Arabidopsis thaliana: one gene and its partners. The protein of the gene in region 1 interacts with the protein of each later gene in a pairwise test. Each region holds a gene or a part of one and is shown in the gene's direction. Other genes may lie near its edges. The genes, in order: DHAR1, UGT74E2, AT1G47530 and AT4G19645.

Region 1 (3,715 bases):
TACTTGTGGGTTTTCAGGTAATCAGAAATGTTAAACCCAAAATCATACCTCTCCAGAAGGAATTCTGGTGTTTTGTCGTACAAGTGCACCAGCAGCAACCATCCCATGCTTTTCAACAACGACCCCATCAAGAAGTGTCGCACCCATCCCAATAAAGGTCTCATCCTCAACAGTACATCCATGTAAAACAGCACTATGACCTGTTACACATTTAATTTAAGACTATATCCCAAATGCTTCTTGGAGATGTATGCATATTAAACATTTTCAAAATAAACAGTGAGTAAGAGATTCCCACTAACCAATGGTTACATTGTCTCCAATTATGGTTGGGTGCACCTTCCCGCTTAAGTTTGATTTTGCCACATGCACAAGTGAGTTGTCCTGAATATTAGTTCCTGACCCAACACTTACGGTGTTCACATCGCCTGCGCAGAAAAAAAGAGAGAAAGCAAGTTTAGATTGTATGTTATCCCAGTTTCCTGGTAAAGTACTAACAGGCTTAGCCATACAGTACCAATGTGTTATGACATGAAAGCATTCTGTAAAAAGGACAACCCTATTTCATCACCATTAAATAAAAATCCAGACTAGCCAACTCATACTCGCAATAAGGATTCAACTCAAACTCAATAATCTGTATATGATATCGTTCAACTAATTCTGGTGTTATGACATGAAAGCATTCTGTATATGATTGGGGATATCATATACCCAATCACCCATTAGAGCAACTGCCAGTATCATCAAGATACGATATGTAGTAATGATCTGTTTAAGATCCTTCAATAAAGCTAGAAAGCTCCATTTTGAGTAGTAGTCTTGTTCATCGCTTAACCAGAAGAGTAAAAAACAGATATTCGTTCACTATTTTCTATCGTAAGAGTTGACACAGCTAAGGATACAGAAGTAGATACTATTTCAAACAAAACTTCAGTCACTAAAATAGTCAACCACCAAACACCAAACATTGAGGCTTAGTAGCTAGCTCACCTCGTAATACGCATCCATACCAAATGGACGATCCTCTTCCAATGTGAACGTCCCCAATAACTGAGGCGCTTGGTGCCACAAAAGCTTCCTTGTCCACAATCGGAGCCTTATCAAATACATTCATCAGTGTCCGATGCCTTGACACTACACAGAGAAAACCACAATTACATATAAGCAAATTTCGTGACCAGGAAACAAAAAAAAAACTAAGCAGCAAAACACATTCCACATCAATTAATCCCTTGTGCCATTCGAATCCAGAATCGCTATACCTACAAAGACATCAATTCCAGATCTCTAACCTAACCAGAATAGGTGAGCTGAATTACCCAATCGAAACTCCTCACTCTTTACGAATTCGAAATCGGAGTGAAAAATAGAGTTACGCAGAATCTTACGTTGTTCTCGGAAGTAATTTTTGCCTTGAAGGCGACAACCGAGGCGATCAAGAGCTTGACCAGTCTCACGGATCCAAAAACCGACCGAGTAAAATGCTCTGCCTAGGGTTCCCATTGATCGTCACTTTCTTCGAGCTCACAGGTAAACGAGGACTCAACACTGAATGAAGAAGACGAAAATGGTCGAAGCTGAAGAAGAGACGGAAGAAAAAAAATCAGCGAAAATGGATTTCAACAGGAACATTCCGGGACGGCGAAACAATAAATTACAGTTACAGTGGTTTAATATGGTTTAATCGAACCAAAACAATACGAAATATGAACCAAATCTAATTCGATATTTCAGGTAGTAGTTTCATTAAACCGATTATATTATTCGGTACGAATTTATTACTATATTTTCACTAAATTGAACGGTCCAAAACCTGCCGACCAAAAATCAAATGGCCCTATCAGTAACAATGTCGTTTCGTATCGTCGTCACTTGCAACGCATAACACGTGAGAAAAGATAAACATCGGGTAAAAATGGCCCACTGGTGGGTGGAGAATGGTAATAATTCAGTTTAAAAGCTAAGCCTTCTCACTGATTAACTCAATCATTCATCCGTCTCTGCAAACAAAGGAAGAAGAATCAAGATGGCTCTGGAAATCTGTGTGAAAGCTGCTGTTGGTGCTCCTGATCATCTCGGCGACTGTAACCATCTTCTCTTTCTCTCTCTGTTTTTGTTTTGCATTAAGCTTTTGATTTTGCAATTCTTAATTTCTGAGCTTTGATCGTTGGTAAATTTACTAATTTAAGTGTTTGTTTGTCGTTTTAGGTCCGTTCAGCCAACGGGCTCTTCTCACACTCGAGGAGAAGAGTCTTACCTACAAAATCCATCTGATTAACCTCTCTGACAAACCCCAGTGGTCAGTTTCTCTCACGCCTAAACCCTTAAGATCGGTCTAGTTTGAACTTGTTTAGCCATAATCTCTGAAATTTTACTTGTAACTGGTACGAGCTTTGTGTTAACCGGAAATTGGATTGGCTTCATGTGCGAGCATTGTGTTAACCGGAACTTGAAATTGGTGGCTTTGGTTTTATATATGATGCAGGTTCTTGGACATTAGTCCTCAAGGGAAAGTACCAGTGCTTAAGATCGACGACAAGTGGGTGACTGATTCCGACGTCATCGTTGGTATACTCGAGGAGAAGTATCCTGATCCACCACTCAAGACTCCTGCTGAATTTGCCTCTGTTGGATCCAACATTTTTGGTACTTTTGGGACATTCTTGAAGAGCAAAGACTCCAATGACGGATCTGAACATGCCTTGCTTGTTGAGCTAGAAGCTTTGGAAAACCATCTTAAGAGTCACGATGGCCCTTTTATCGCCGGAGAAAGAGTTTCCGCAGTGGATCTAAGCTTAGCACCAAAGCTTTACCACCTTCAAGTTGCTCTTGGCCATTTCAAAAGCTGGTCTGTCCCTGAGAGCTTTCCCCATGTCCATAACTACATGAAGACTCTGTTCTCGCTCGACTCTTTTGAGAAAACTAAGACCGAGGAAAAGTATGTGATCTCTGGATGGGCTCCCAAGGTTAACCCTTGAAACTATGCACCGTTATGAGATCGTTGGTGTGGTAATGTTGTTCAAGGTCTCTCTCTTATATCAGTCAAATAATGTACTTGGACCTTTTTATGTAATGTACTGTATCAATCAAATAAGAAGCCTATTTTGAAATAAGATTTGCCTCCATATCGAAACTCGGATAAACACTGGCTACACGTAACATAAGGGACAAGGGTTTTTTCAGACAAATTATTTAAGAAACTCATCGACAGTACTTGTGTACTTGACCTCAGGATAAAGCTCAGAAGTCTTAACTCCAAAAGAAGGATCTATAGTCAAGGAGGTAAAGTCGCTCTTCGCAAGGACCGTATGGATCAAACCCACAAAAAAATCCATTGGAGGCTGGGTCTCTGCAAATGCAAGTGACTCGTTTAATACTTTGGAGTTTGGACTGATGAATATTGGATATCAGAAACTGTTTTTATGGTTTAACTGATCACCTTTGATGGTTTTGAGGAGTTCTTCCTCAGAAACATAAGTCTTGTCGAGACTCGAGAGTCTTACCGATCTTTACATCCCACAAATCAACCATATCGTTCTGCGATACAATGTTCTTGGGCGGGTGAATGTAGGGTTGGGTGAGATTTTCCAAGAATGTTCCTGGGAGAAGGCAGTTATAGTCGCACCGTCAGCAGTCGTAAGGTAATCGGATTTTATTGTGGATGACCAGCGATTTTCATGATTTGCATCAAATTGTTTTTTCTCTTCTTCTG
Region 2 (4,180 bases), 5.1 Mb from region 1:
AGGGTCAAGTCATCTTTTTTTTTAATTAATTTAGGTTAAAAATTAAGAAAATAAAATGACAAATAATTAAACGATTGTGTCAAGTAAAGGAAAATAAAGATCTTGGAATTTAATTTAATTTAGAACAAAACAGATTTCTGATAGTAAACCGTAAATTTAGTGGTGGCTATATTATGCAGCAAGATTATCAGTTAACTAGATTTTAATCTGCGGTATACCGCGGGGTTATATCTTTTTTAAAAACTAAAAAGTTAATTTGTTTAGTAGATTAAATAAATATAATTCATTTTAATATTTTCTAAATGTACAACTCTTATATATATATATATATATTATTTAGTATACAATTACTATGTTTATTTTTTACTGTTTAACAATATAGAAAGAATAACACACAGTTTATTAAGTTAAAATTTAGATTATAACTAAATAATTCAAATTTTAATTATATTAATTTTATTAATATAATGATATTTTGATATATATATATATATATATATATATATATATGATTTCACCCATGATATACTGTCTCGTATTATTATCGATCCAAAGCCGTCATATCATCTAATCTCGTTCAGTGAAATTAAACATATCTAATAGATTTCACCCATGCTATACTGTCTCGTATTACCTATCGACCCAAACTCGTCATACCATCTAACCCCGTTCAGCGAAACTAAAAATTATTTTGTTATTTTTGTTTTAATAATACTTTAATTTAAAAGATATATAATTCAAATCAGTTTAAAAGTTTTATTTTAAATGGTTATTTAATTGTTTTAAAATTCATATATTATAAATATTATAAACCCGTCTTATCATCTAATCTCGTTCGGTAAAATTAAACATTATTTTTTTATTTTTTGTTTGAATAATATTTTTATTAAAAAATTTATAATTCACATCAATTTAAAAGTTTTATTTCAAATGATTATTTAATTTTTATACATTTCACATATTATAAATATTATAAAACGTTTTTCCGTTAAATATTTTAAATGTTTAACTAACTATAATATTTATTTTTAATAAAGTATAATATTAATAAATTCCTAAGATTTCTCCTTTTTAAAAGTAATTAGAATTGATGGAAATATATTAGATAAAGAAATGCTAATAATTAAGAATATTAATTAGTTATAATAATTAAATATCAATGACATCCACTGTAAATAAGTCCCAACTTAAGGATTTATTTACTAAAATAGCTCCAAAAATGTATATATAGATGTTATCAAAATTCGAATTAAAAAGTTGTAAAAAGACTCGGAGGCGGTCAAAATCAATTTTTTTATTTTCTTGCATAAATTTGTGAACTCCAGAGAATTAAGAATGACCAGTGATAGAGCTCCACGTGGATAGATTGGGTTCCAAAGTGGGACGGCGTTAAATATAAAAAGGCCGGAAGTTGTCGAAGTAGTCTTTTTTCCCATTATTTCTGTTTTCGGTTCCTTATTTTGTTCCTTTGTAATAATGAGTGACATCAAAAATATTTGGGGACGAATTAACAGGTAATGTAAATAGAAAGAAATAGAAAATTTTCTTTGATTTTACAATTTGGATTCGGATTGCATAAGCAATGACATCAACAGTAATACATAGCTGAGAGGCTGAGATGCAGTGTCTCTCTCTCAGGGAAGATGACAAAAAGAATCTGATATACACGTACGTATGTTGCGAGTTACATATTGATATATCACATGTCATAAGTCACATGCTAACGATAAACTAATAAACTAAAACAATTATGTCAACATATATCGGTGAATTGCATTATCATCGACCTCGGTCACTGTTCCGCACATCTTGGTCGCCACGGAACATAGACAATTTTTGGATTGTAGTCCAATTAATGAGTCCCCCACCAAAGCCGTAGTAAAATCGAAGTCGTTCTCTAATCCAATCATATATATATCCATAACACACACCAACAACACCCACACAACAAAAACTAGAGTCAGTAACAACACAAGATTAAAAAGAAGGAGAAAATGAGAGAAGGATCTCATCTTATCGTCTTGCCTTTCCCAGGACAAGGCCACATAACTCCAATGTCCCAGTTCTGCAAACGCTTAGCCTCAAAAGGTCTTAAGCTCACTCTGGTCCTCGTCTCCGACAAACCCTCTCCTCCATACAAAACAGAGCACGACTCAATCACTGTCTTCCCCATCTCCAACGGCTTCCAAGAAGGCGAGGAACCATTACAAGACCTCGATGATTACATGGAAAGAGTAGAAACCAGCATCAAAAACACCTTACCGAAGTTGGTTGAAGACATGAAACTGTCGGGAAATCCACCTAGGGCTATCGTGTACGACTCCACCATGCCATGGCTTCTTGATGTAGCTCATAGTTATGGATTGAGCGGTGCCGTGTTTTTCACGCAACCTTGGCTTGTCACAGCTATTTACTACCATGTTTTCAAGGGTTCGTTCTCTGTACCGTCTACAAAGTACGGTCACTCGACATTAGCATCTTTCCCTTCGTTCCCGATGCTGACTGCAAATGATTTGCCGTCTTTCCTCTGCGAATCGTCCTCATACCCGAATATACTGAGGATTGTGGTGGATCAGCTCTCAAACATTGATCGAGTCGACATAGTGTTGTGCAACACTTTCGATAAATTGGAGGAAAAGGTACAGAATATAAATCCATATAGAGGAACATGTCTCTGTCTTTTGTAGGAAGTGTTTTAAGTTTTATTTTCTCTGCTTGTAGTTGTTGAAATGGGTCCAAAGCTTGTGGCCAGTCTTGAATATTGGACCAACGGTTCCATCGATGTATTTAGACAAACGACTGTCTGAAGACAAGAACTACGGTTTTAGCCTCTTCAATGCGAAAGTCGCTGAATGCATGGAGTGGCTAAACTCAAAGGAGCCTAATTCTGTTGTCTATTTATCATTCGGAAGTTTGGTGATTCTAAAAGAAGATCAAATGTTGGAACTCGCTGCGGGTCTGAAACAGAGCGGACGTTTCTTTCTGTGGGTTGTGAGAGAGACAGAGACACACAAACTTCCAAGAAACTATGTCGAGGAAATCGGTGAAAAAGGACTTATTGTAAGCTGGAGTCCTCAGCTTGACGTACTTGCACATAAATCAATCGGTTGTTTCTTGACACACTGTGGATGGAACTCGACGTTAGAGGGATTGAGTTTGGGAGTTCCAATGATTGGTATGCCACACTGGACTGATCAGCCCACGAATGCTAAGTTCATGCAGGATGTGTGGAAGGTTGGGGTAAGGGTTAAGGCAGAAGGTGATGGGTTTGTGAGAAGAGAAGAGATTATGAGAAGTGTGGAAGAAGTTATGGAGGGAGAGAAAGGGAAAGAGATTAGAAAGAATGCTGAGAAATGGAAAGTGTTGGCTCAAGAGGCAGTTTCTGAAGGAGGTAGCTCTGATAAGAGCATCAATGAGTTTGTTTCTATGTTTTGTTGAATGATTTAAATTGATATGTTCAAAAGTACATCGTCTTTTGCAAGTCCAATTGTAATTCTTGTTGTTGTTGTAGTAATAACTAATAATATAGTTTCTCATTTGTCTTCAGCTCTCTATTAATTCCAAGTTCCAAATGATAACATGTGAGTTAAAAATCCAGGGTTTAATAAAATATCCAAGCCGGATAAAATTTTGCATAACTCTATAAAAATTCATCTCATTTTTTTTTAAAAATGAAATATACACTACACACCTAAAGCTACTTTAAATGTGACGGCCTTATGCAGTCAAAGGTCATATGGTAGGTTGAATTATCATCGATGTCTATCCCCACACATCTTGGTAGCCACGTTTGACCTTTTTGGATAGTAGTCACAAGAAAAGTCGTAAAATCAAAGTCGTCCTCTAACCCAACCTTATAAATACACACACCCACACATAACAGAGTCAGAGTAAGAACGAAAGACAAAAAAAAAAAAGATGAGAGAAGGATCTCATGTTATTGTTTTGCCTTTCCCAGCACAAGGCCACATAACTCCAATGTCCCAATTCTGTAAACGCTTAGCCTCAAAAAGTCTTAAGATCACTCTTGTCCTCGTCTCCGACAAGCCCTCTCCGCCGTACAAAACAGAGCACGACACAATCACTGTCGTCCCCATCTCCAATGGTTTCCAAGAAGGCCAGGAACGATCAGAAGACCTAGATGAGTACATGGAAAGAGTAGAATCCAGCATCAAAAACC
Region 3 (5,401 bases), about 11 Mb from region 1:
TATTTTAAAACCCTTTTAAACCCTTTAAAGATCTTTTAAAATCCCTTGTAAATCTATTTCCAGCCAAAAAAATATTTTTGCGGGAAAAATGTTTTTGAGAAAAAAACTTTGATGGAAATTTTTTTTTCGAAATTTTTTGGTGGGAAATTTATTTTGGAATATTTTAGGCGAAAAAATATTAATATTTCATTTTGTTAACCTAAAACAATTTCGAAATATGAGTAAAATGGTCATTAAAAATTTAAAGAGGTATAAATGAAAATGGCAAATAAGAAAAGGTAGAATTGAAAAGGGGTAGTGTGGAAAGGACATTCTGAGCAATTATTCAATATTGTATGACTACTAAATTCTCATATGCAAATGTGAAATCAAATTTGTATTCAATCACTTGTTTATATAATGTCTGGTTCTTTAGATATTAGCTCACTTCAGGTAAGAAAACAAAATGTGGTAGCCTCATTACTTCATTAGTGCAAAGAAAGTGATTCTTTGGGATAAATTTGGATAATTTTGAATCAAAGCTGTAGTAGGACAATACACTTTTATAGTATTTTTTATTAAAGGGAAAACTCAACATCTAAAGGCAAGGAATATCCAACAGTTTGAACGCTAAACAATCAAGGGACAAGCAGAGCGTTTTCTAAATAAAGTTGCCGTTCTTTGAGAGCCGAGCTCGAACCGTAATCTGGCTTCATCACACACATAGTTCATCTTCCCGGTCGTCCCATCTCTGCAATCAGGAAAATGCAACCTCGATCCAAACCTCATATCACCTCTTTCCTTAATATTCTCCATAATATCTTTCACAATCACACCATCCATATCTCCTTCAGAGGCAATCGATGTAACCTTAAGCAGCTTAGGCCACCACGGTTTGATATTGTAACTAAATACTCACAAGAGTTAATCTATGTTAGTTTTCGAAACAAAAGAAATATGTGAACAAAACTAACAACCAAGGAGTGAAATCTTTTGAGTCCACATGCAATATGTGATACAACGAGGATTCATCCCTCTCAGTATAGACTAGTTATTCTGAAACATAGCTTCCTCACTACCGCAAGAATCCCATGATACAACAACTACGCTCTTACAACAATGGTTAATTTGATCACGATTCAATAATCATCTACCATGATTCACTCTCTTTTTGGTTAAAGTTCAAAGTAATATTTTCGCATTTCTTTGATATAAAACGATGTCGATTATTTGGTTCATGACTTTTTATTTCTCTTAGTTTCACAACAACTTCGCTCTCACAACAATGGTTAATTTGAGCACTAACCAATGACCAATTGACCATGCATGATTCACTCTCCTTTTGGTTAAGTTCAGACAGTGTAAAAGCTTTTCTTGTTACAAAATGCTGTCGATTTTTTGGTTCATCAATTTTATTAATTTCTTTTGCACTTTCACCAACACCTAATATTAAAAAGAAAATAAAAACAAGATCCACCAATTCAATGCGATAGGGTAAGTGACTAAATGTTCATTGCCGTTGTCACCCTTTGAACCCAATTTAGGACTCAAAGAGCCGTCTGATTATATTTAACCTTGGTCGAAGTATTTCTAACGAGCTGGTAAGTCCTCATTGGTCCATTATATTCACTGTCCACAATAATTTTAATTACTTGTACGACTCGGTTAACTCCTTCTAGGAAAAACTAAAGTGTACCTACCTAGTACATACGTACTTCTTCATATTACCACAAGTTTTTTTTTTTTTTTCTTGCATTCAACTACGTGTTTAAAGTTTCGGCCCCAAACTTCGGCCCAAAAACAAAAACCAAATAAACTATTACAAAAATCTTTGTTATCATATCACACTATCATTTCAAGTTTTCAACCAATCCATACTCTTAACAATCCCATTAAATTGAGATTTATTCATATTAAGAAATTATGCTGATAATATTTAACTACCAAATTAGGCCGATTCATACCAAAACTATAGAATATGTACTAAATAATTCCATTACCTTCGTTTAGTCATTTTTGGCGGTTTATTTCTTTTGGATAGATCTCATGTCAGACCTTTTTAGACTATTCATTATGGCACCTACCACACTAGTGTGTCTCCATCTTCTGTATTTATATACATATATCATAAGTCAGAACAAAGAGAAAGCAAAGAAGAGAAACTAAAACAGAGCTTTTTTCACATGGGAAAGGATAAGACTTTGCCGTTGCTTGACCCTCGTGAGCCACCGGAACTCACCGGAACCAAGTCGGCGTCAAAAGTATGGGCCAAAGAGTTCGGCGAAGAGTCGAAGCGGCTTTGGGAGTTAGCAGGACCAGCGATTTTCACTGCCATAAGTCAATACTCTCTTGGTGCTCTCACTCAGACTTTCTCCGGCCGTCTCGGTGAACTTGAGCTCGCCGCCGTCTCAGTTGAAAACTCTGTTATCTCCGGTCTTGCCTTCGGTGTCATGGTATGTTACGTAAACACCCTTCACACGTGTCAGGTTCTTGGTAATGGATAATGTGTTCTAATAATAGCCACAGAAATAAAAGTCAATATTTGAGGACTTTTTTTGTATTAATTAATATCAATATTCGTTAATATCAATGAAGTAGATTTTCCCATACATTTAAAATTGTTTCGTAATTGTGATTAAGTAAATCCTAACAGTGTGTTTTATATTCAAATAAAGTAGATATATTAATGTAGTTGAGTTCAGTGTTATAATATTTGTTATACAAGTAATCTCTACGAGGGTCCTTGTGTAAGCTCTCTTGAATTTTGTTGCTTGTCATTTAAGTTTCCTATGAAAAAAGCTTAGAGATCAAACAATATAAACATTTTGATGATGGAAAATGGTGGCAGTTAGGGATGGGGAGTGCATTGGAGACGTTGTGTGGACAAGCATATGGCGCGGGACAGATTAGGATGATGGGAATATATATGCAACGTTCATGGGTCATTCTCTTTACTACTGCTTTGTTTTTGCTTCCCGTCTACATTTGGGCTCCTCCTATTCTTTCCTTCTTCGGCGAGGCTCCTCACATCTCTAAAGCCGCGGGTATCATTCTTGTTATTCCTTTTTGCCAATTGGTTTTGAGTTTGGAGTCAATGTTCACGTAACAACTTCTGCGTTGTTATAATTTTCAGGGAAGTTCGCATTGTGGATGATCCCGCAACTATTTGCCTATGCAGCCAACTTCCCGATACAGAAATTCTTGCAGTCACAGAGGAAAGTTCTTGTGATGGCTTGGATCTCTGGAGTGGTTTTAGTTATACATGCAGTTTTTAGCTGGCTCTTCATTCTTTACTTTAAGTGGGGACTTGTAGGTGCAGCTATCACTCTCAATACCTCGTGGTGGTTGATTGTTATTGGTCAGCTTTTGTATATCTTAATCACCAAATCAGACGGTGCGTGGACTGGATTTTCTATGCTAGCGTTTCGGGACCTCTATGGATTTGTCAAACTTTCCTTAGCCTCTGCTCTTATGCTTTGGTACCTATCCAATTTTTTTTGGCTAGAAGATAGCTTTAGACTTACGTTAGCTGAGACTTCGCTTGTAATGAAAGGTTAGTTGTTTTTGTTTTGCAGTTTGGAGTTTTGGTACTTGATGGTTCTGGTTGTTGTTACCGGTCTCCTTCCTAACCCGTTGATACCAGTCGATGCCATCTCCATTTGGTAATCAATTTGTGCTGATCTTTGGTTAGTTTCTCACTGAAAATAGGTTTGTTTAGTAACATATTTTATGTTTTGGGGTTCACAGCATGAATATAGAAGGGTGGACTGCCATGATTTCGATCGGGTTTAACGCTGCGATTAGGTAAGTTCTCTACCTTTATGTTTCAGGAGCCACATTTGGAAAGCTAATAAAAATCTCATGAACTGGTGAACTTTGTCTCTTGGTGTGATCAGTGTGAGAGTATCGAATGAGCTGGGTGCAGGAAACGCAGCGTTAGCCAAATTCTCAGTGATAGTCGTCTCCATAACTTCAACTCTTATCGGGATAGTGTGCATGATTGTTGTCTTAGCCACAAAAGACAGCTTCCCTTATCTTTTCACTTCAAGCGAAGCTGTGGCAGCAGAAACCACGAGAATAGCCGTCTTGTTGGGCTTCACTGTCCTCTTGAACAGCCTCCAGCCCGTCTTGTCAGGGGTTGCGGTTGGAGCGGGGTGGCAGGCTCTGGTTGCATACGTGAACATTGCGTGTTATTACATTATCGGACTACCTGCTGGTCTTGTTCTTGGATTCACACTAGACCTCGGCGTTCAGGTTAGCTATTTACTAATATGACCATTTTGTATTAGCCTTGTTCTTTTTAATCTGGTGTTAAATCATTTGTATATTTTTGTAGGGAATATGGGGAGGTATGGTAGCTGGAATATGCTTGCAGACACTTATATTGATTGGAATCATCTACTTCACTAACTGGAACAAAGAGGTCTCTTACTTTGTCTTTTAGTTGCTGCTATGTTCCTCCTTTGTGTTTGGTTTGATCATTTCATTAATTAGCTTTGAATTCTAAATTATGCAGGCTGAGCAAGCGGAGAGTCGAGTTCAGAGATGGGGAGGAACGGCGCAGGAGTGATCAACAACTCCCTTAGGACGTGGACTATATCAGTTATTGATCTTTTTTTGTCAATGTTCAATGTTGAGAAAATTGTTTATCGGAGAACAACATCATCTCTTTTTGTTTTTTGATATGCTTAAAGTTAACGAGTCTCTCAGTGATTGTTAGAGGGGTACGGTTTGTTATGTGTTAGACTTATGTTAGATTCTAGGATGGTTGTTGCTAAGCCAAAGTTCTTGATTAATTTTAAGTATGAGATTTAATCTTCATAAGCTTGTTGATCCTTCGTTTTTATTTTAATGGTCAGACTTGATCCAATGTTTATGTTCATTTGAAGGCGAAGATCTTACCGTTTGTCAAACATAGCTAATTAGTGGTGGTATTAGCAACAGATCTTTAGGACTGTCGTTGATCTGTTGCAACTCAGTCACTAAAAATTAACAAATCTTATATAAACAAGAGGAATATTAAAAAGAAAAAAAGAAGATGAAAATGAATATCAAAATAGTTGTGTGACGATACAATATATTAGAGATGGACTACAACAATTCATGAATCAGGGTCACAGACTAACCGTTAAAGCAGTAAATTTGTCTGCCCATCTCATAAGTGTTTGAATTAAAATTTAGGTCAGTCGAGAGCTGTGTGCTATATACTAGATAGTCTACCCTTAATTACTATGTTTGGTTTTCGCATGGAGATTTACTATAAATACACAAACAAGTAATAGTGCTCAAATTGTGAATCAACCCATGCACTAATCCTTTTCATCAATTCGGTCACGGTTAGGATAATGGATTCCGTAATATGGTAACAAATGCATTTTCTGAAATATCAAACTAACATCATTTAATGATTATATTGTTTGAT
Region 4 (5,460 bases), on another chromosome or scaffold:
AAGAGGTTTGCTTTTTCTCTTCTTCGTTGTAGAAACAAAACAAAACAATCTCAAAGGCTCTTTCTTTAAGATCTTACATAGCTCGTCTTGTTTAACATTCAAACTAAGACAAGCAGTTCTAGGTGCTGGCAGAGAGCATGAACCAATAAGCTCCATATGACTCAGCAAAATCTTCGTGATAAACTGCGTTTCCATTCTAATAGCAATCAAGAAATCCAACGTCTTCTGAATATTTTTCACGCATTTGTCTGACAACATCTCTGGATTGTCTATAAATAGCCTATAAATCTCATTCACTTGAAGCCCCGCTTTAAACAACCTACCAAACAGAACATAGAATTTCTTTCCGGAGCCTTCGATTACCAAAGCTGGATACGTTTTCAAAAGACTACTCAACTTCTCCTCTTTACATCCCACTTTATCAAGAAACTCTATTGTCTCCAGAATTCTGCGCCAGCTATATGTTTTCCGGTCAGACAAGTACCGCCCAAGCCAATCACATCCTACTTGTAACCCTTTCAACTTATCAACTACAGAAGAAAACTCAGCATCAATCCCACCAACCAGTAGCAAAGGGCAACTAGTAACTAACTTAATAACTGTAGCCTTACTAAGACCCAAATTCTCATAACCCCTTAGCTTCATCGCCAACATCCCAGATTCATATCTAAAAATCTCTCTCGCTTCTTTATACATACGGCCAATCTTACCACGCGGGATCCCATAGTTGCAAAGAGCATGAAAGTTCTCAAACATGATACCATCATCACTCAAAAACATTAGCTTCCGTGGAAGAAACGTTTCAAACTCATAAGGACACAAACCCAAACTCTCGAAAAACGGTTCAAACTCGTTTATCGGATTGTACCTAAGGAACTTAGTCAATCCCTTGGATACATCTTTCTGATTATCATCAATCTTAGACAACAAAGTCGACATAAAACAAGGAGAATTCTTACTTATATGCTCTGCATCAGTAAAAGTAAAGCTTCTAGTATAATGCAAGTAATCAAAAAGAGCTTCTTGAGCTTGATTCCTACTAGCCCTTGATACCGGATTAACGAAAAACCTAGTTGGTAAGTGAGACGAGTGTTGTTGTAACTTAGATTTATCCTGACGAACACAGCTTTCAATCTGAAAACTCCGAAATGGAACTGAAACACGAGAAAGGTCGAACCTTTGAACTGGGTTTTGACGAGGAATAGATGAGAAAGTTATACAGTAGTTGAGATTTGAAATCATATTCAACAGTTTATGAACTCTTCTCTGATTTCTGGATAATAACATCGCAACCTAACAACAAAGAGAAACAGGTGAAAGTCACAATCAAATAGAGAGCTATGAAGAATTCTCAATGCTTACTCTTTCAAGTAAGAAATTTACCTGAAATTAGGGCTTATTAAGCATTTGAATCAACCATTTTCCCAAGATTCTTAGGGTTCATAGCCAAATCTCAGTTACTTTGCTTAAACCTTGTTCTGGCTTCAAATTAAGGTGGAAATTTCAGAGAAGCCCCTAAACGTTTATAATATATCCGAAACGACCATAATCTTATTTTTCTATACTTCAATATGTGCCTAAGAGTTTCCGAAATATCATAAAGGTACCAATTAGTGCATCATCAACACTTGGCCTTAAAAGACTTGACGTGAGATATTATTATTCCTCTTTTGATACCGAATTAATAGACTTGTCAAGTTTAGACTTGTCAAAAGTGATAAACATATCACACGAAATCGTGTTATTATCACGAGCGTTACAAATTCTTCAAGTATATCACTATAAAACGACTTCAAAACCCAACCAAGTGGTGATTTCTTTGAGCTGACTATATGTATGCAAGATAAAGGCAGCAAGAAACGGTGAGTTTTCTTCACGAGCATAAATGGTTTGTTCGTCTTTCTGATTTTTGATTTTATAGATATGTAACTTTTTTATTAGGTCAATTTCAAGTGGTCCATGGTAGATTCAATTCATGTTAGGTCATCATCTTCAAGCTAAAACGCCTACCAAACATATAATAACAAGTATTCTTTTAATCACTAGTTTTAGTTTCAAAATATTTCTGACTATCTTAAGTGCATTTAGATTTTAGTTCAACATGATGGAAAAAGATAACTTGACTCTTGTTTAACTTGCATATGTTTTGTTTGACTATTTGTTATGTTTGAGAGGAATGATTTTTCTTTGTAAAACAGCTTTATATAAAACTTGTGGCTTACTCGGATGAATTTTATATTTGTTTTGATTATTTTTCAAATGTTGTTTTTTTCAAAACCTTTTGACAGTAAATTACAATATAAATTATTTTCAAAGATCTTAATATGTCTTATTTAAGTGAATTTTTAATTATAATTATAAGTAAATTATTAAATATAGATTATAACAATGAAGTTAAATCTTATTCACTATATCTTTAAATATTTTTTTCTCTTATTTTTTTAATATTTTATTCACTATTTGTAACAAAATTATAAAAGCCAAAATTACCAAATTTCTGCAAGAAAAAACAAAAAACAAATCCTTGGCTCCTCCTAAAATCCACCTACCTTACCCTTTTATATATAAGATACAACCAAAAACAAGATGATTTGGTGCTTTCAATATAAAAGATATAATATTTCATAATTAACATATTCTCCCTTAGGTTTTCCTGCACACTCGATTTAAATCGTCTAACAAGGTCAGAATCCATAATTTATACAACCATTTTCTGCTTCCTTTGTTTCCTCCCTAATTACATGTTATTAACTATTAAGCATATCCTTAAAACAAAACCCAAACTGAATTATCTTTGTCAATAGTTGTCTTCTCTCTCGATTATTCTTAAGATAACTACTTTGGTAGTTTTGTTTTTTTAATTACTACTGCACCCTCTTGCGCTTCAAGTTACTTGGTAAAAAACTCTCTTAACTTTGGATAATTTCTCGAAGTCTCTGAAGAAAGAACCCTTTTTTTCTTCTCTCATAATCGTCTCTGTAACGTCCTTCTCCTTCTTCATCTTCTTTGCGTTTCTTCTGCAGCCTTTTGCGGTTCACGTGTTGATTGCTTCTGTCTCTACTTTTTGTCCGTTTTAAAGTTTAAACTTATTGTTACAAAATTGGATTTTCTCTGATCAAACGATAAAAACAGAGTCTTTTAGTATCTTCTTCTTGGGTATAACGAAGATTTTTGTGGTTTCTTCTGATGTAATTCACAAAACCATTTGTATAATCCTTGAAAAGACTTTTTGTTCAGAAATGAAGTTTCTTACTTTGCTCTTTCTTTTCTATATTTCAGTAATGATGATGATAAAGCTTGAGAGAAGTGATTAGTCTGTAGAAGAAGAAGAGTTAAAACCATTCACCAAAGAAGAAATTGAGAACTAGAGACAGTCATGGAGATCAAATCTTACCAAAATCAAGCAGAGTATTTTGTTGAACACTATTTATTAGCAGATCCATTTCTTCCATATACTTCTGTTCTTGTTGGAATCTGTCTTTGCAAATTGGTAAGTTTTGCTTCTCTTCACTTACAATTGCAGAAACTTCACTTTTTTCTGCATTCTGTTTTTAAACAGTGTAGCTTATGTTCTTAGGTATATGATCTTACGGAGTTATTCAGCTCAATTCATGTCAAATCATACTCAGCTCTCACAAAAATAAAGAGAATTGAATGGAACAACAGGTATGTATAGGTTCCTTGTTTCAGCCTTTATATGTTATGCTCTAGTCTCTTATCACTTTGGCTTGACAGGGGAATTTCTACAGTCCATGCGATCTTTATCTCATTCATGGCATTATACTTTGCGTTCTTCTCTGATTTGTTTTCTGACCAAAGAAGCCTTGAAACCCTTACGGTGTTTCGTAACTCGCCTCTGTCTACCTTTGGTTTAGGAGTAAGTTTTGATCTTTCTTCATTTTATCTCACAAGTCCTACTCATGAGCATTGATCAACTTATATGGTACTTTGTTGTGATGTGTTTTTTGCATAGGTATCAGTTGGTTACTTTCTTGCGGATCTTGGAATGATCTTTTGGTTATACCCTTCTTTAGGAGGATCAGAATATGTAAGTTAGACACATGAAAGCTTATGTGGTCTTCAATTACTTGACAATCTTGTGTTTTTTGTTTCAGATATTACATCACTGCTTATCTGGAACAGCAGTAGCGTATTCTTTGTTCTCTGGAGAGGCTCAGCTTTACACATACATGGTTTTAATCTCTGAAGTGACTACACCAGAGATCAATCTTAGATGGTACCTTGACATTGCTGGTTTGAAACGATCTAAAGCTTATCTTGTTAATGGAGTTGCTATATTCTTTGCTTGGTTGGTGAGTTTCTTAAAACCTTTGTTTTTCGTTGTAAATGTCTGAAAACTTGATCTCCTTTTTTATAGCAATGATGTTTTGTTTGCAGACAGCAAGAATTCTTCTGTTCATCTACATGTTTTACCATGTCTACACACATTATGATCAGGTAATCAAGATTTCGGTTTGATTATCTCTAAACCAAACGGTCTAGCCTTTAGGAAAAATAGGAATTACTCTGTTTTTTTTTTTTTTTTGCTGTTGTATTGGTTAGGTTTAGAGATAATGAATTGATGATCAATGGATTTTTCGGCAGGTGATAGAGATGCATACATTCGGTTATCTACTGGTATTTGTTGTACCGATTTCATTGAGTGTCATGAACTTGATCTGGTTTGGTAAGATAGTGAAGGGATTGAAGAAAACTCTTGAGAAAAGACAGTGAAGAAAGAGTTGTGTTTTTTTTTTTATGTAAATATAAAACTCTTATGAAGAATCTTACAAGTTTATAAGCAACAAAGATATGGTTTGTTTCTAACTTTTAGCTTATACACTAATTATGTTCAAAATCTCATTCCCATTATTCCCACAACAGTCCCTATGCATGCTGAATACTTAAATCCATGTACGAAATCAATAGAGGACTTAACCCAAAAAGACTTGGGCCTAAATCTACATTGGGCCAACGATTATATTCGTAGTTTTTTCGTGTCATATTAACTTGCCGTGTAATATTTGTTTACTTGTATTTTTTGTTAGTTCTAGAAAGAAAGCAACATTAATTGAGGAGGAGGAGATTGGTTGTTGTTGACGACGCGTTTCCGCTCACTAATTTTTTTTAACCTTTTTGTGTCTCCGTCGTCTTTTGATCTTCAATCTCAGTTTTGAGCTGAAGATTATCGTATCGACCTGCGATTCTCTTCAGATCGATAATCCATGGCTGCAGCTGGAAACAAGAGCATTAACGCCAAATTGGTCAGTCTTATTAGCTCGATTCTTTTGAGTTCCCTTGTGGTTGGTTTGTCTCTCTCCGATGATCGTAAAATTGATTGAATTTGCAGACCCGTTTTGTTAGATTTTCAGTTTTCTGGATTTGATTCTGTTTCTAATTTGGAGAATTTTGATACGTGATGTTGAATTGGAGAGCTTTGATCAGATTTTGTTGTTAGGG

The links.
Region 2: the proteins of DHAR1 (region 1) and UGT74E2 interact in a two-hybrid assay, tested with the Arabidopsis thaliana proteins (one large-scale study listed by BioGRID).
Region 3: the proteins of DHAR1 (region 1) and AT1G47530 interact in a protein complementation assay, tested with the Arabidopsis thaliana proteins (one large-scale study listed by BioGRID).
Region 4: the proteins of DHAR1 (region 1) and AT4G19645 interact in a protein complementation assay, tested with the Arabidopsis thaliana proteins (one large-scale study listed by BioGRID).

The regions. Positions count from the first base shown.
Region 1 is NC_003070.9:6,772,728-6,776,442, reverse strand, and holds DHAR1 (dehydroascorbate reductase), read left to right. Parts: upstream 1-1,919; 5' UTR 1,920-2,029; coding exon 2,030-2,087; intron 2,088-2,211; coding exon 2,212-2,302; intron 2,303-2,488; coding exon 2,489-2,981; 3' UTR 2,982-3,141; downstream 3,142-3,715. Other genes in the region: GAMMA CA1 (gamma carbonic anhydrase 1), read right to left, coding at 49-200, 303-428, 994-1,137, 1,392-1,506; AT1G19565 (uncharacterized protein), read left to right, coding at 3,312-3,364, 3,473-3,564. UniProt on the Arabidopsis thaliana protein: Displays a dual function. As a soluble protein, exhibits glutathione-dependent thiol transferase and dehydroascorbate (DHA) reductase activities. Key component of the ascorbate recycling system.
Region 2 is NC_003070.9:1,702,454-1,706,633, reverse strand, and holds UGT74E2 (Uridine diphosphate glycosyltransferase 74E2), read left to right. Parts: upstream 1-1,795; 5' UTR 1,796-1,994; coding exon 1,995-2,639; intron 2,640-2,721; coding exon 2,722-3,438; 3' UTR 3,439-3,632; downstream 3,633-4,180. Other genes in the region: AT1G05675 (UDP-Glycosyltransferase superfamily protein), read left to right, coding at 3,919-4,180. UniProt on the Arabidopsis thaliana protein: Glucosyltransferase that acts on the auxin indole-3-butyric acid (IBA). Mediates abiotic stress responses and stress-induced morphological adaptations by regulating auxin homeostasis.
Region 3 is NC_003070.9:17,449,562-17,454,962, forward strand, and holds AT1G47530 (MATE efflux family protein), read left to right. Parts: upstream 1-1,991; 5' UTR 1,992-2,162; coding exon 2,163-2,432; exon of another isoform or gene 2,433-2,726; intron 2,727-2,827; coding exon 2,828-3,023; intron 3,024-3,112; coding exon 3,113-3,458; intron 3,459-3,554; coding exon 3,555-3,641; intron 3,642-3,726; coding exon 3,727-3,783; intron 3,784-3,875; coding exon 3,876-4,233; intron 4,234-4,315; coding exon 4,316-4,402; intron 4,403-4,495; coding exon 4,496-4,549; 3' UTR 4,550-4,900; downstream 4,901-5,401.
Region 4 is NC_003075.7:10,689,215-10,694,674, reverse strand, and holds AT4G19645 (TRAM, LAG1 and CLN8 (TLC) lipid-sensing domain containing protein), read left to right. Parts: upstream 1-1,843; 5' UTR 1,844-1,862; intron 1,863-2,653; exon of another isoform or gene 2,654-2,683; intron 2,684-2,712; exon of another isoform or gene 2,713-2,914; coding exon of another isoform or gene 2,915-3,001; exon of another isoform or gene 3,002-3,188; intron 3,189-3,279; 5' UTR 3,280-3,376; coding exon 3,377-3,490; intron 3,491-3,577; coding exon 3,578-3,666; intron 3,667-3,735; coding exon 3,736-3,877; intron 3,878-3,973; coding exon 3,974-4,048; intron 4,049-4,115; coding exon 4,116-4,313; intron 4,314-4,398; coding exon 4,399-4,458; intron 4,459-4,605; coding exon 4,606-4,734; 3' UTR 4,735-4,917; downstream 4,918-5,460. Other genes in the region: AT4G19650 (Mitochondrial transcription termination factor family protein), read right to left, coding at 1-1,287; ARA7 (Ras-related small GTP-binding family protein), read left to right, coding at 5,226-5,264.